2 linked regions of the Caenorhabditis elegans genome follow. The protein of the gene in region 2 purifies or fractionates together with the protein of the main gene of each other region. This does not show direct contact. Each region holds a gene or a part of one and is shown on either strand. Other genes may lie near its edges. The genes, in order: spt-5 and ugt-1.

The links.
Region 1: the proteins of ugt-1 (region 2) and spt-5 fractionate together in Caenorhabditis elegans (co-fractionation; one large-scale study listed by BioGRID). This does not show direct contact.

What each region holds. Positions count from the first base shown.
Region 1 is NC_003282.8:12,049,657-12,056,314, reverse strand, and holds spt-5 (Transcription elongation factor SPT5), read right to left. Parts: upstream 4,825-6,658; 5' UTR 4,819-4,824; coding exon 4,771-4,818; intron 4,642-4,770; coding exon 4,558-4,641; intron 4,509-4,557; coding exon 3,999-4,508; intron 3,950-3,998; coding exon 3,367-3,949; intron 3,321-3,366; coding exon 1,668-3,320; intron 1,617-1,667; coding exon 1,224-1,616; intron 1,169-1,223; coding exon 963-1,168; intron 915-962; coding exon 765-914; 3' UTR 569-764; downstream 1-568. Other genes in the region: K08E4.2 (Glycolipid transfer protein domain-containing protein), read left to right, coding at 1-97, 146-461; Beta-1,3-galactosyltransferase bre-5, read left to right, coding at 5,119-5,147, 5,245-5,341, 5,394-5,540, 5,591-5,779, 5,824-6,021, 6,075-6,383; T12G3.4 (Strictosidine synthase conserved region domain-containing protein), read right to left, coding at 6,456-6,658.
Region 2 is NC_003283.11:10,393,567-10,398,333, reverse strand, and holds ugt-1 (glucuronosyltransferase), read right to left. Parts: upstream 2,672-4,767; 5' UTR 2,620-2,671; coding exon 2,476-2,619; intron 2,408-2,475; coding exon 2,339-2,407; intron 2,296-2,338; coding exon 2,179-2,295; intron 2,133-2,178; coding exon 2,090-2,132; intron 2,046-2,089; coding exon 1,848-2,045; intron 1,753-1,847; coding exon 1,371-1,752; intron 1,326-1,370; coding exon 1,186-1,325; intron 1,143-1,185; coding exon 824-1,142; intron 778-823; coding exon 600-777; 3' UTR 514-599; downstream 1-513. Other genes in the region: col-151 (Nematode cuticle collagen N-terminal domain-containing protein), read left to right, coding at 3,111-3,251, 3,299-3,458, 4,071-4,579, 4,636-4,767.

The sequences.
Region 1 (6,658 bases), on a different chromosome or scaffold from region 2:
CTATCATCGGAATGGCAACGAAGGAGTCGGAGAATGGAACTATTCGAAATCAGAAACCAAATAGAAGCGGCACTGGACATTTGATGGTTCTTAACAGGTATTCGTGGATTCGTAGAAGAGAAAATCAATGAGTTCATCATTTCAGAGCTCTTGAATTCGTCATCGATTTGCTGGATGGAGTGTTCACGTCGAATGATGAAAATGTATCGACAATCGCTCGTTCTTCTTATGACAAACATCTTTCTCAACTTCATTCTTGGCCAATCAGAACTGCTGTCGCTGCGGCTCTCTACACTTTGCCTCGAAAACCAGAATTTCTATGTAGACTTCGTGGTGATATGCCAGAGGACGATGATAATCAATTCCATGATATTTTCAATCGAGACGGACGAGATATTGTGCGAAGAGTGAACAAACTAGTTGAAAATTTCGAACTAACTGATTATAATCCTTCAGCCTGAATCTCTTTACTACCCTCTTCATTCTTGATCTCACAAAAAATATGTTCTCTGAAATTAAACTTTTCATTATATCTCTTGGTTGTACAACAAGTGTATTTGTTTTTGAAAAAGAAAAGCAGCAATCATTTTAAGAAATGTTTAATTCAAATAAAACAGTGTATAATAAATAAATAAATGAACGATTTTCAAAGGGTGACACCAAAAAATAGACACAACGAAGTGAAACTCGTCGAGTGTCGAATAACATTTGAACAGAAAAAAGCGAAGAAAAATTGGAGAATAAATAGTAAAGTGAACAACTTTTCAAGTTTCGCTATGCATTTTGCAGCACAATCCAATGTTGATGACTCGCATGTCTGACATGTCTTCCTGTGATCGGATAACTGCTTCGAATCCATCCATGGAAACAAGTTGTCCACTGTGACCTGCATCTTGTCCGAAAATCACTCGAGCCTTAAAGTTAACATTTCATTTAGCATTTTCAATTTAATATTTTCTTACATCATCTCCTGGTTGCGGTTTCATTGGAGTTAGCTGATCGAAATCAACTTCCAAGTTGCACTTGTGATCTGGCATGTAGACATCCACTTTTCCATCGGTAACATCTTTAATGATCGCCTCACGTCCGTTGAATCGCCCTTCGTGGTCCTTGATTTGCACACACAGATTCTGCACAATCCACACACCTTGAGCCAGGAAGTGGTCCGCTAAAAATAAGAAATTAGCTTCACTATAATTCAAATAAAATCTTGAGCAACTTACGAATTTGCTCAATAGCTCCATCGGCATTGTTGTAGTTGTTACTGTCGTAGCCAGCGAATGGAGAAGGCGCAACATATTGATCGTATGCTCCTCCACTTCCTGGCGTCATTGGAGCAGCGAATCCAGGTGTATCAACGTGATAGGCTCCCGGAGTTGCTGGATTGAGCATTGCACCTGGAGTTGGCACAACGTACGAGTGTGGAGGAGAATCATAAGTTGGAGACGAAGTGTCTCCGATGTCTTCCTCAACTTTTGTAGCTGCATCTGGTTCGTATGTCGGGCTGCTGTTCTCATATGTGTCGTATCCTGGAGTACGGGACACGAATGCTGGAGTTCTTGCTGGAGCATTGTCATACGCTTCAGGTGCATCGGGCTCGTATGCCGGACTCAACGCTAAACAATTAAAAATTAAAAATTGCAAAGATATGTAATGGTTCAACTCACGAATATCATAATCATTATTGTATGCTGGAGTTCTGGCGGAATGTTCGGATTCTGGATAGGCTGGAGTCTTACTGCTTGAATCATAGTTCGGAGTTCTCGATGGCATACTTTCATAGCCAGGCGTTCTTCCAGAATCATCATATGCAGGAGTTCTACTGTTGTCCATTGATCCGTATGCTGGAGTCCGTCCACCTTCCGTACTTCCATAGGCAGGAGTTCGTGCACCATCAGCACTACCGTAAGCAGGAGTTCTTGAACTGTCATTTCCATAGGCTGGAGTACGTGATGATGAATGTTCATCAAGATCTCCATATGCTGGAGTTTTGCTTCCATATGCAGGGGTACGTCCACCTTCTCCATACGCCGGTGTTCTTCCTCCATCATAAGCTGGAGTCATCGAGCCATACATCGGTGTTTGTGCTCCATACATCGGAGTCTTCGATCCATACATTGGAGTTTTGCCAGAGTCGCGCATCGGTGTCTTCGAAGAACTGTAGAACGAGCTTCCACCTCCACTTCCAGCTGTTATTCCAGTGTCTCCGACAACCATCACACGAGCACGATCGACAGAAATCGTTCTGCATTGTGTATGCAATTCGACACGAACTGTGTCTTCTGTGGCATCTCGAACAATTCCAAAGTGGCCCTTCATCGGACCTTTGATGATTCGAACATTTTTTCCAATGAGGGTAAGATCACGACGAACTTTTTGTTGATTTGCAGTTCCAAAATGACCACCACGTCCTCCTCCTCCACCTTGTCTCGGAGTTTGTCCACCACTGCTTCCACGACTTGACATACCATCTTGTGGAGAACGAGGAGTCATTCCTCCAGAAGAATGTCTTGGTGATGCCATAGGATTCGGTGAAGCCATTCGAGAAACCATCGGTGTACTGGTTGTTTTCTTAGCTCCTTGTAAAATCAGTTGTTTTGGTTTGCAAACCAAGACTCCTCCATTTTTAGTCACTTTGCGAGAATAAACGAAGACAGTTCCACGGAACGCATAGAGAACTTCTCCAACTGGATCCTCATCGGTTTCCCGCTCCTTTGCGTTTGGTCCTCCAATTACTTTTACCAGATCTTTAGCCTCGATGGAATTGTTTTGACTGTCGAGAACTTTCGCAAATCGAACGTCTTTTTTCGCTATAATAGCTTGTGGCTTTATACGATTCACAACTCCGTGCATGTTGAGAACTTCCAAATGTTCCTTCTCCAATCGAACAATTACTCCAACATTTCCTGTATGGTCGAGCTGTACAAGATCATGATATTGGAACTGTCCCAGTGAGTCCACTCCAGTTGTCACATCAGCACAAAGTTGCAAATCTCGTACACGAACTTTCAATTCTTCCATTCCAAGATCAGACAAAACTATGGCTGTGCTATCTTTTACTCGGACAATTAATCCAGTATGTCCTTCGTATCGTCCACTAATAACCTTTGCATGATCTCCTTCCTTGAAGTATTTCCTGAGCTCATGAGCGTTCAAAGTGATTGCTTCTTTCAAATCTTCTTGATCTGGCATCATCACAACCTTCGTCCCATCGACCGTCATCACTTTACCCCGAAGATTCACCAACTCTCCAGCTTTCACTTCGACGATATCTCCAGGAACAAATGGATTTTCTGTGTCTTTGAGAGAAGCCGTTTCCACTGAAAAAAAGTATTTTTAAAAAAGAATAAAGGAATAAAAACTTACATTCTCTCTTGAGATCATCGCTAGATTCTTGGAACTTTTCGAGTTCTCCAAGAGTTGGTTTAACACCATCAGCTTGAATTGCGTTTATGGGGAAGTACTTGTAGAGGAATCCTCGCCGGAAATGATTTCCTTCAAATACTAAGAAGTCTCCGTCCGTCACAATTTCTCCTCCAACTTCTTTGATGGTATCCTGATCAAATAACTTGGGCATTGGGCGTCTTTTCAGCTTATAGTTTTTATCAGCATCAGTTCTCATTGCTCCGCGCCGCTTCTGATAATCGACACGGGGAATCAATTTCAGGTTGACACGGTTCTGAGCGATATCCACAAGATCAACGACAGCCAGATCATCTTTGTACATTGTTCTTTTCAAACGAACATATGATCCGAGTTTCAACTGTGGAATGTCTTTGACAACTCTCAATACATCTACCATATCTTTGATGGGAACCATGGTTATAGTGAATTGATTGAGAGCTGAAAATCCTTCAATTGCAGACATGACGTGAGATTGTTTGAACGCCTCGATATAGATCATTCCTTTGAGTCCTTCCTTGACGACAACTGATTTGATTTGGAATGGCTATAAATTGATTAAATGCAATCATTATTACGGGACATTTATCAATTACCTCGTTTGTGTGCTCAACCGCAAGACATTTACGCATCAGATGCATCGCTACGAGTTTTTCCTCTCCCATGCGACATTTGACAATCCACAGGTTAGGATCCTTCGTGGATGGAAGATGAGAATTTTTTGAAATATCATCCATAGCTGAATCTTCGTCATCATATTGACTGTCGTTTTTGTCACCCTTGTACTTGTTCTCAAAGTATTTCTGGACTTCGTCTTCCGTCATGTTTTGGAACTTGTACCGATCTCTATTCCGTTGACTCAATTCCATTTCTTTCATCGCACGCTCAGCTTCCTCTCGCTCGTTCATTGCATTCATGCTTGGATCGTCTTCGTCATCGTAATCATTGTCGTCGTCTTCGTCTTCGTCGTCGACTTCAACATCCCAAGCAAGAAAATCTCGTCCAGAAGGAGCCTTATTCTTCCGTTTCTGCTTTTTAGATTTCTTGCTGGTCACGTTTTCATCTTCATCGTCATCGTCGTCATCATCATCGTCCGAGCCACTTTTCTGAAAAACCGACAGGATTGTAACTTTAAAATTAATTGTTTTCACTCACCTCACTCTCTGAAGCAAGTTTCCGCTTTCTGTCCTTCTTTGAATTTTTGATTTCAACATCTGAGCCATCATCATCGCTCAAAGTCTGTAAGAGGATAAAAATCGATAAATAAGTAAAGTCGCATAATTTGTGAATTTTCCATGAAAGCTTATTTGTTATTTTCGGCGAAATCGATCGAATCTCAAATCATAGAGTGAAAAATCGATAACTAACCGTGTCTTCTTCTTTGTTTGAGGCTGCATCACTTTCGTCAGAGGACATTGCTAACTGAAACATTTAAGTAAATTTCAAATAACTTGGGGCAGAGAAATGAGGAGGAACGCGTGTGATTTAGGACAACGCTTAAAAATTCAGAAAATTAGGCAAGAAGTAAATCAATCAATTGAAAAAATGATTAACTTTATAGGTATAAATGATTAGAAGAAATTAAGCGCAAAAAAGAAGAAGAAAATGAAGAAGAAATAAATTGTCGTCGGTTCCGATGCCCGGTACGCAATCTGGTGTTCACGTCCAAAACCCACAACTTGCCGCGCATTAAATATATATTTATTTAACATTTTAATGTTTTTATGCGTGCGGATTTTGAAAAGGTAGGAAATTCTCTGTGGATACGCTTGAAAAATCTCAAAGCTTTAAGAAGTATTGCTTTGCTCTTCAATTTCGCATAAATATTTAATTTCATTTCAGAAAATATCATGAACTTTCTTCGTTTCAAAAGCTTTTAATTTTCACGATTACGATTTTTCTTCTATGGGTACTTGGAGTTGTGGATAAGTTTAGAGAGGTACTTTATACGCCAGAAAAAATTATTTAAACATAATGATTATATTTTTCAGACGAGTTTTGGTGACTTCAGTTGGCCACTGGAAACGCGTAATTTACAATTGCGAAGCAAGTTTACAAAATATCCACAGTGCAAATTTTCTGGCAATGGACAAAAGATTATTATTATTATAATCAAGTCAAGTGCGAAAAATGGACCGGTTAGTATTTGCAGAAAATCAAATTTCTATTTAAAAAAAACAATATTCAGATGCGAGAGTCAGTAAGAAAGACGTGGGGAGTGTTTCGAATGATTGATGGAGTCGAAGTTATGCCAATCTTCATTGTGGGAAGAGTGGAAAATATGGAGATAATGAGAAGAATTGATGTAGAATCGGAGAAGTATAAGGATATTCTTGCAATATCAGACATAGATTCATATCGGAACAATACCTTAAAAGTTTGTTTTCTTGAACACTTTTCTCAATAAAAACCTAATTTCAGTTGTTTGGCGCCATTGACTACGCTGCGAATCCAAATCAATGCTCTTCTCCAGACTTTACCTTTCTGGTAGATGACGATTATTTGGTACATATCCCAAATCTTGTAAAATTCGCAAAAACTAAACAAAAAGAGGAACTTGTTTACGAAGGCTTCGTATTTGACACGTCACCATTCAGGCTTAAGATCCACAAACACAGCGTAAGTGCTTCAAGTAAAAAAAAAACCTATTTCCAAATTATTACAAGTTACAGATTTCGCTGAATGAGTATCCATTTTCACGATATCCTCCATACGTCTCCGCTGGCGCTGTCTTCCTCACTTCCGAAACCATTGCGCGATTCAGAAATTCAATTAGAAAACTGAAAATGTTTCCATTCGATGATGTCTTTACGGGTATTCTCGCCAAAACAGTGAATGTCGCAGCAACTCATAATGAGAACTTCATCTTCTGGTGTCGACGAGTGTCTCAAAAAGAATGGGATGATGGTGTAATTGCAGTTCATGGATATGCCAGGAAAGATCTTGAATACGAGTATAGCCAGTTAAACGGGTTCGAATAAATTGTATTTTGAATTTTTTTCATATAATTTTCAACATATCAATAGAGATCGTAAGAAATAAAAATTAAATATTCAAAGTTTAGCTCGAGCAATATAATAGTTAACATCACTTCCCAGAAGCATTCTTCCTTTTCCATCGTCAATCGCAATTGAGACGGCTTCAACTCGTCCTGTTTGATCATGATACGACTCGATGATTTGACCAGTTTCCGTGTTGACTTTGATAACAAGACCTTCTACATCAGCGACATAATTAGCAACATATCCAAGAGCTT
Region 2 (4,767 bases):
AACTATGGAGTTTAGAAAAGTCTGATGGCATTGTACAATAATTTTTTTTTGTTTTTTGATTTACTGTTAAACTGTTTTTTGATTTACTGTTAAACCGTTTTCTGATTTACTGTTAAATTATCCATTGAAATTGCACCCATTTGTTCAACTCTGAAAGCTTATATTTTAGTTTTCGTTTCTTCTATTAAAAATTAGGCAATTAGCAAAATATTTGTCAGTTCTATTTTTTAAAAATTTGCCGTTGATAATTATTTATTTTATATCATCCGAATGAACCGAGATATAAATTTTCAAAGTGGAGTAGTTGGCTTATATACTAATTGAGAATGTACGGTACGTTTTTTCTTACAACTTGTGAGGTGATAAAATACGAGAAGAATGTTGAAAATGCTTTGCCAGTAGACACAAATACAGGGATCTCAAAAGCAGGGAAAAAGATATCGTCTAGATTCCGCCATTTATTTTTTGCTTTATGGATTTGCACCTTTTAGGTGTACATTTTTTATGTTGATAAAAGCAGATTAGACAGTTTATTAAGGCTCAAATATGAATTAAATCAACAAGAGATACAAATTGATAGCAAATAAAACTTTTTAAAACTACTCTTTCTTTGATTTTGTCTTGAAAACGTGTTTGTAAACAAATTTGAAAAGTAAATGTGCTAAATAAAAGATAATGATTAAAATTGAAAAAATAATGGCAAAAGCATCTAACATGTAGTACTGAACAAAGTTGTAGTGAACATTGTATGGTTCCAAAGCATCAACTCTTCCAAATCTGAAACTTTATAAAATCTTTGCTATCCTAATTTTGTTTATCTTACTTTGCACTGAACTCCACGTGTTTCAGAAGATTTGCTTTTGGATCAATTGGTTGATTTCTTAGAAGATCAGCAATATGATGTGATTTTTTGTTGAATTCTTCATTTCCGATAATCTCTTTAATTGCAGATGTCAATTTTTCGGCATCTTCCAAATCATATTTATCAAAAACAGTAGCACCACCATGTCTACTCAACATTTTTGCATTCAATAATTGATCTCCGAACACTGGAATCATTAGGGCAGGCTTTCCAGAGTATGCAACTTCTAAAGTACTGCCGAGACCACCATGAGTTACGAAGAGTTTCAGTCGAGGATCAGCTGAAAATTGAAATAAGTACAAAAGAAAAGTGAGATAAAATACCAAGCAGAGCTGGCTGAGGAACCCATTTCTTCAGAATCGCATTATTCGGGAGCCTTTCAATGAATTGTTGATCTTCTACTTCATACTTCCAGATGAAAGTGGTATCTGGTAGAAGATGGAACATTTTGATAATCCCATCTCTGAAATTGAAATAGTTGTTTTAATTCCAAATTTAAAATAATCACTTAAAACTTTCTGGCATATCCGCTGATTGAATTACGGTTCCAAATGAAATAAGGACTGTTGATTTTCGAAGACTCAGAATTTTGTTATATTCCTCTTCTAATTTCAGATTTTTTGGTGGATCAATTGTGAATCCTCCAATGTGTACATGTTTTGGAAGTGATGGTGTTGGAAATGCAATAAAATCATTGGCATTCGAAAAATAAAACGTGGCAGTCTGAAGAATTTCCTTCCAGTGTCGAACATCCCCATTCAAAAGTTGAGATGCTTGTTTGTATTGTTTTTCGAAAAGCTTCGAGAATGCGAGTTCGAGACATGGAAGAGCAATGATGTCACCGATTCGATCAAAAACAGTTTGCTCCGTTCCGAACTTTGTCCTCATGGCTTGAAATTATAAATATTTTTTATAGAAAATCATAAGATCAGTTGATAAGAATCGTCTGTCACCTTTAATTTGCTCAAAAATAAACAAAACTCACATGGTAAAAAATTAAGCAATGATGGTTCCCCAATTGCGTAAACAGATGGAAGACTTTTAGTTGAAGAATGCATTGGAATTATGTTAAGCTTCAAGTGATCTCCAAGATAAAGACCACAAAAATCGAATGGCTCGGAAATAAATCCATCAAAGTTTTTCGAGAGAATCCATTTGTGTAGTTTTTTGTCAAGAAGAACCTCTGTAATAAAACATTATTATCTAGATTTTCTGGTTTAAATCTACTTTCACACATTGTCTTCATTTCGCCATATAGAACTGTTGAAGTCTGAAATAAAACTATGGTATTTCGGAATAAGTATCCATAAACCAACTGCTATAGCTCCAGTAATTGGATTATTAATTATTTCGGTATTCCACATGTATTTGAAGGCACTTGCAGAGTTTTCATTGCTGACCGCTTTGCTTTCGTCGAGATGATAGTCTAGGATCTAGAAAAGTTTTTTTTCAATAAATTAATACTTTACTCCATACCTCGACATTTGTATTCTTTGCCATACGGATTTTACCAAAATGTTCGTAATTGTATGTTTGAAGAATTGTCTGAATAAGAAATAACAAAAAGGTTGAAGAAGCAAGCAAATAACTCGATCAAAATTTTTAAAACTTACCACATTATGATCTCCGTTGGCCAAAGTATCCGCTACTTTATTCATAAATTTCATGTGACTGTATCCAAAAACTGGAGAAACTACGAGAAAGTTATGAGAATAACAAAAAGTTAAGCTTGTAAGAAGTAGAAATAAGATTTTCATTTTAGAAACTTCTAGTTTTTACAGAAATAACTGACATTCAACTCCTTACCTAACATTTCTTTATATAGCGATCCACCATTAGTTTTTTGGTCGGCAAGAGACACAGAGAGATAAGATAGTGAAATATTAAGTACGGTATGTAGAGAAACAGAGAATACGAGAAAGAAAGTTTTGCAGATTACTGTTTTTGTGTTCACTAAAAAATTAGAGTTTGTGCCAGTGCGTTACTTATCAATGTCGGGAAGCTAGTTTTGGTACAAAAATACAATTTAGTAATTTTAGAGTTTGGAGCTTTTGTTGTATTTTGATTTTATTGAAAATTTAGGGTAAGAGGGATAAATTCGTCAAAGTCATTGTTATTTCATTTTTCATATTTCTATTTTCACTTCACACTATGTAGCTGTTTCCTGTTTTTTTCTCTCTAAAATAATTAATATCTATTGTGTTGAAAAGTATAAAATATAGACACCTGTCTGAAACTGAAAACAAAAATGAAGCACACAAATTTTCTATTCGCTACTATTCTGCTCATTGTTTTTGCAGTTCTTACGATTCTCGCTTCAATTTTTTCGGTTTTTAATGAAATTGAAAACTTTGAAATTACTTCCCTTGAAGATCTGAAAACATTTGAAGTTGGTCCATAATTAATTTTTCAAGTTTTTAATTCAATGTTTTGTAGAAATATTCCGATGATGCGTGGAATTTGATAACTGAATCAATTAGAGAAAAACGGGCAGTCTATAGAATCAAATTACCACCACGTCATGGATATGGGCAGCCAAGATATGTTACCATTCCACCAACCAATTCTTATGCTGTTCCAGAAGTTGGAGGTAGCAGTAAGTTTTAAATTTATAATTATCTTATCAGTTAGGATTGAATTAATATATCACATAGAAGCCGGATTACCTCAAAACATTTTTGAAAACATTGCTGATTTTATGTACATTTAGCAAAAGTTATTTACTTTCCTGAGTAAAACATAAGCCAAATAAAATACAATACATAAATGGTCCGAGAACCGACCAAATTTTTTTTCGGTGGAAATTTGCAAAACTAGGAGACATTTCTTTGAAGTTTTTAGACCTTCATCATATGTATTATCCATACGTCGTTTAGAGAATGAAACGAGAAACAGAGAAAGTGGATATTCAACGATAATAAATTTATCTGATCAAAACTCTCCTTTTATAATAATAATAATAATTTATTACGCTCGCTGGGAGACGTGAAGGAATACAGAATACAAAAGTTATCATTGTTCACTTGAACTAGAATTGGTGCAGTCGGGCAATCGTTTCCATTCCATTAGAATGTTGTCCTTGTCCTTGCGTTGTCCTTGCGTAGACTCCCCCATAGTGGGCGAGCGATTCCCGAGTGAAAATAATCACGGAATTATACAGAAAATTTTTACGGGACACGATCTTTTGCATTTAAATGAGCGTTTTCAGTGCCATTGATCTGTCCGGAAGGACCCCCGGGACGTCCTGGTCATCCTGGCCACCCTGGTGAAGACGGCTCAGCTGGACAACCTGGAAGCCCCGGAGGAGTCGGCGTATTGCTATCAATGAAGCTACCATATAATGGGTGTATTCAATGTCCAATGGGACCACAAGGACAACCTGGAAGGCCAGGATTAATGGGACATCCTGGAGATGTGGGTGTTACTGGAATGGATGGAATTCCTGGAGGGAGAGGTCTTCCAGGATATCCAGGAATGCCAGGAGACAATGGATCGGGCGGAGCTAATGGGCATGATGGAGCAACTGGGCAACCAGGCAGATCAGGAACCAGATCATATGGATCACCAGGACCTGCCGGATCCCCTGGAAGAGTCGGGAGAGGGGGACCGCCTGGTCCAGATGGCGGTTATCCCATGTCTGGGGAGCCTGGGTCTTCTGGGCCGCAAGGAAAAGCAGGTCAACCGGGTGGACCTGGAGTCGATGGGCATCCTGGAAGGGTGAGTCAAAATATTTTTCAAAAAAATATTATTAAACTATAATTGATATTTTTCAGCCTGGTGGCAGTGGTCGTCCTGGGCCGGATTCTGGATACTGCAAATGCCCACAAAGAGGAAAAACTGACGAGTTTTCTAATTACAATACGAAGGCATCCACGCCAACAGAGAAACCCGAAGCATCTTCGGAC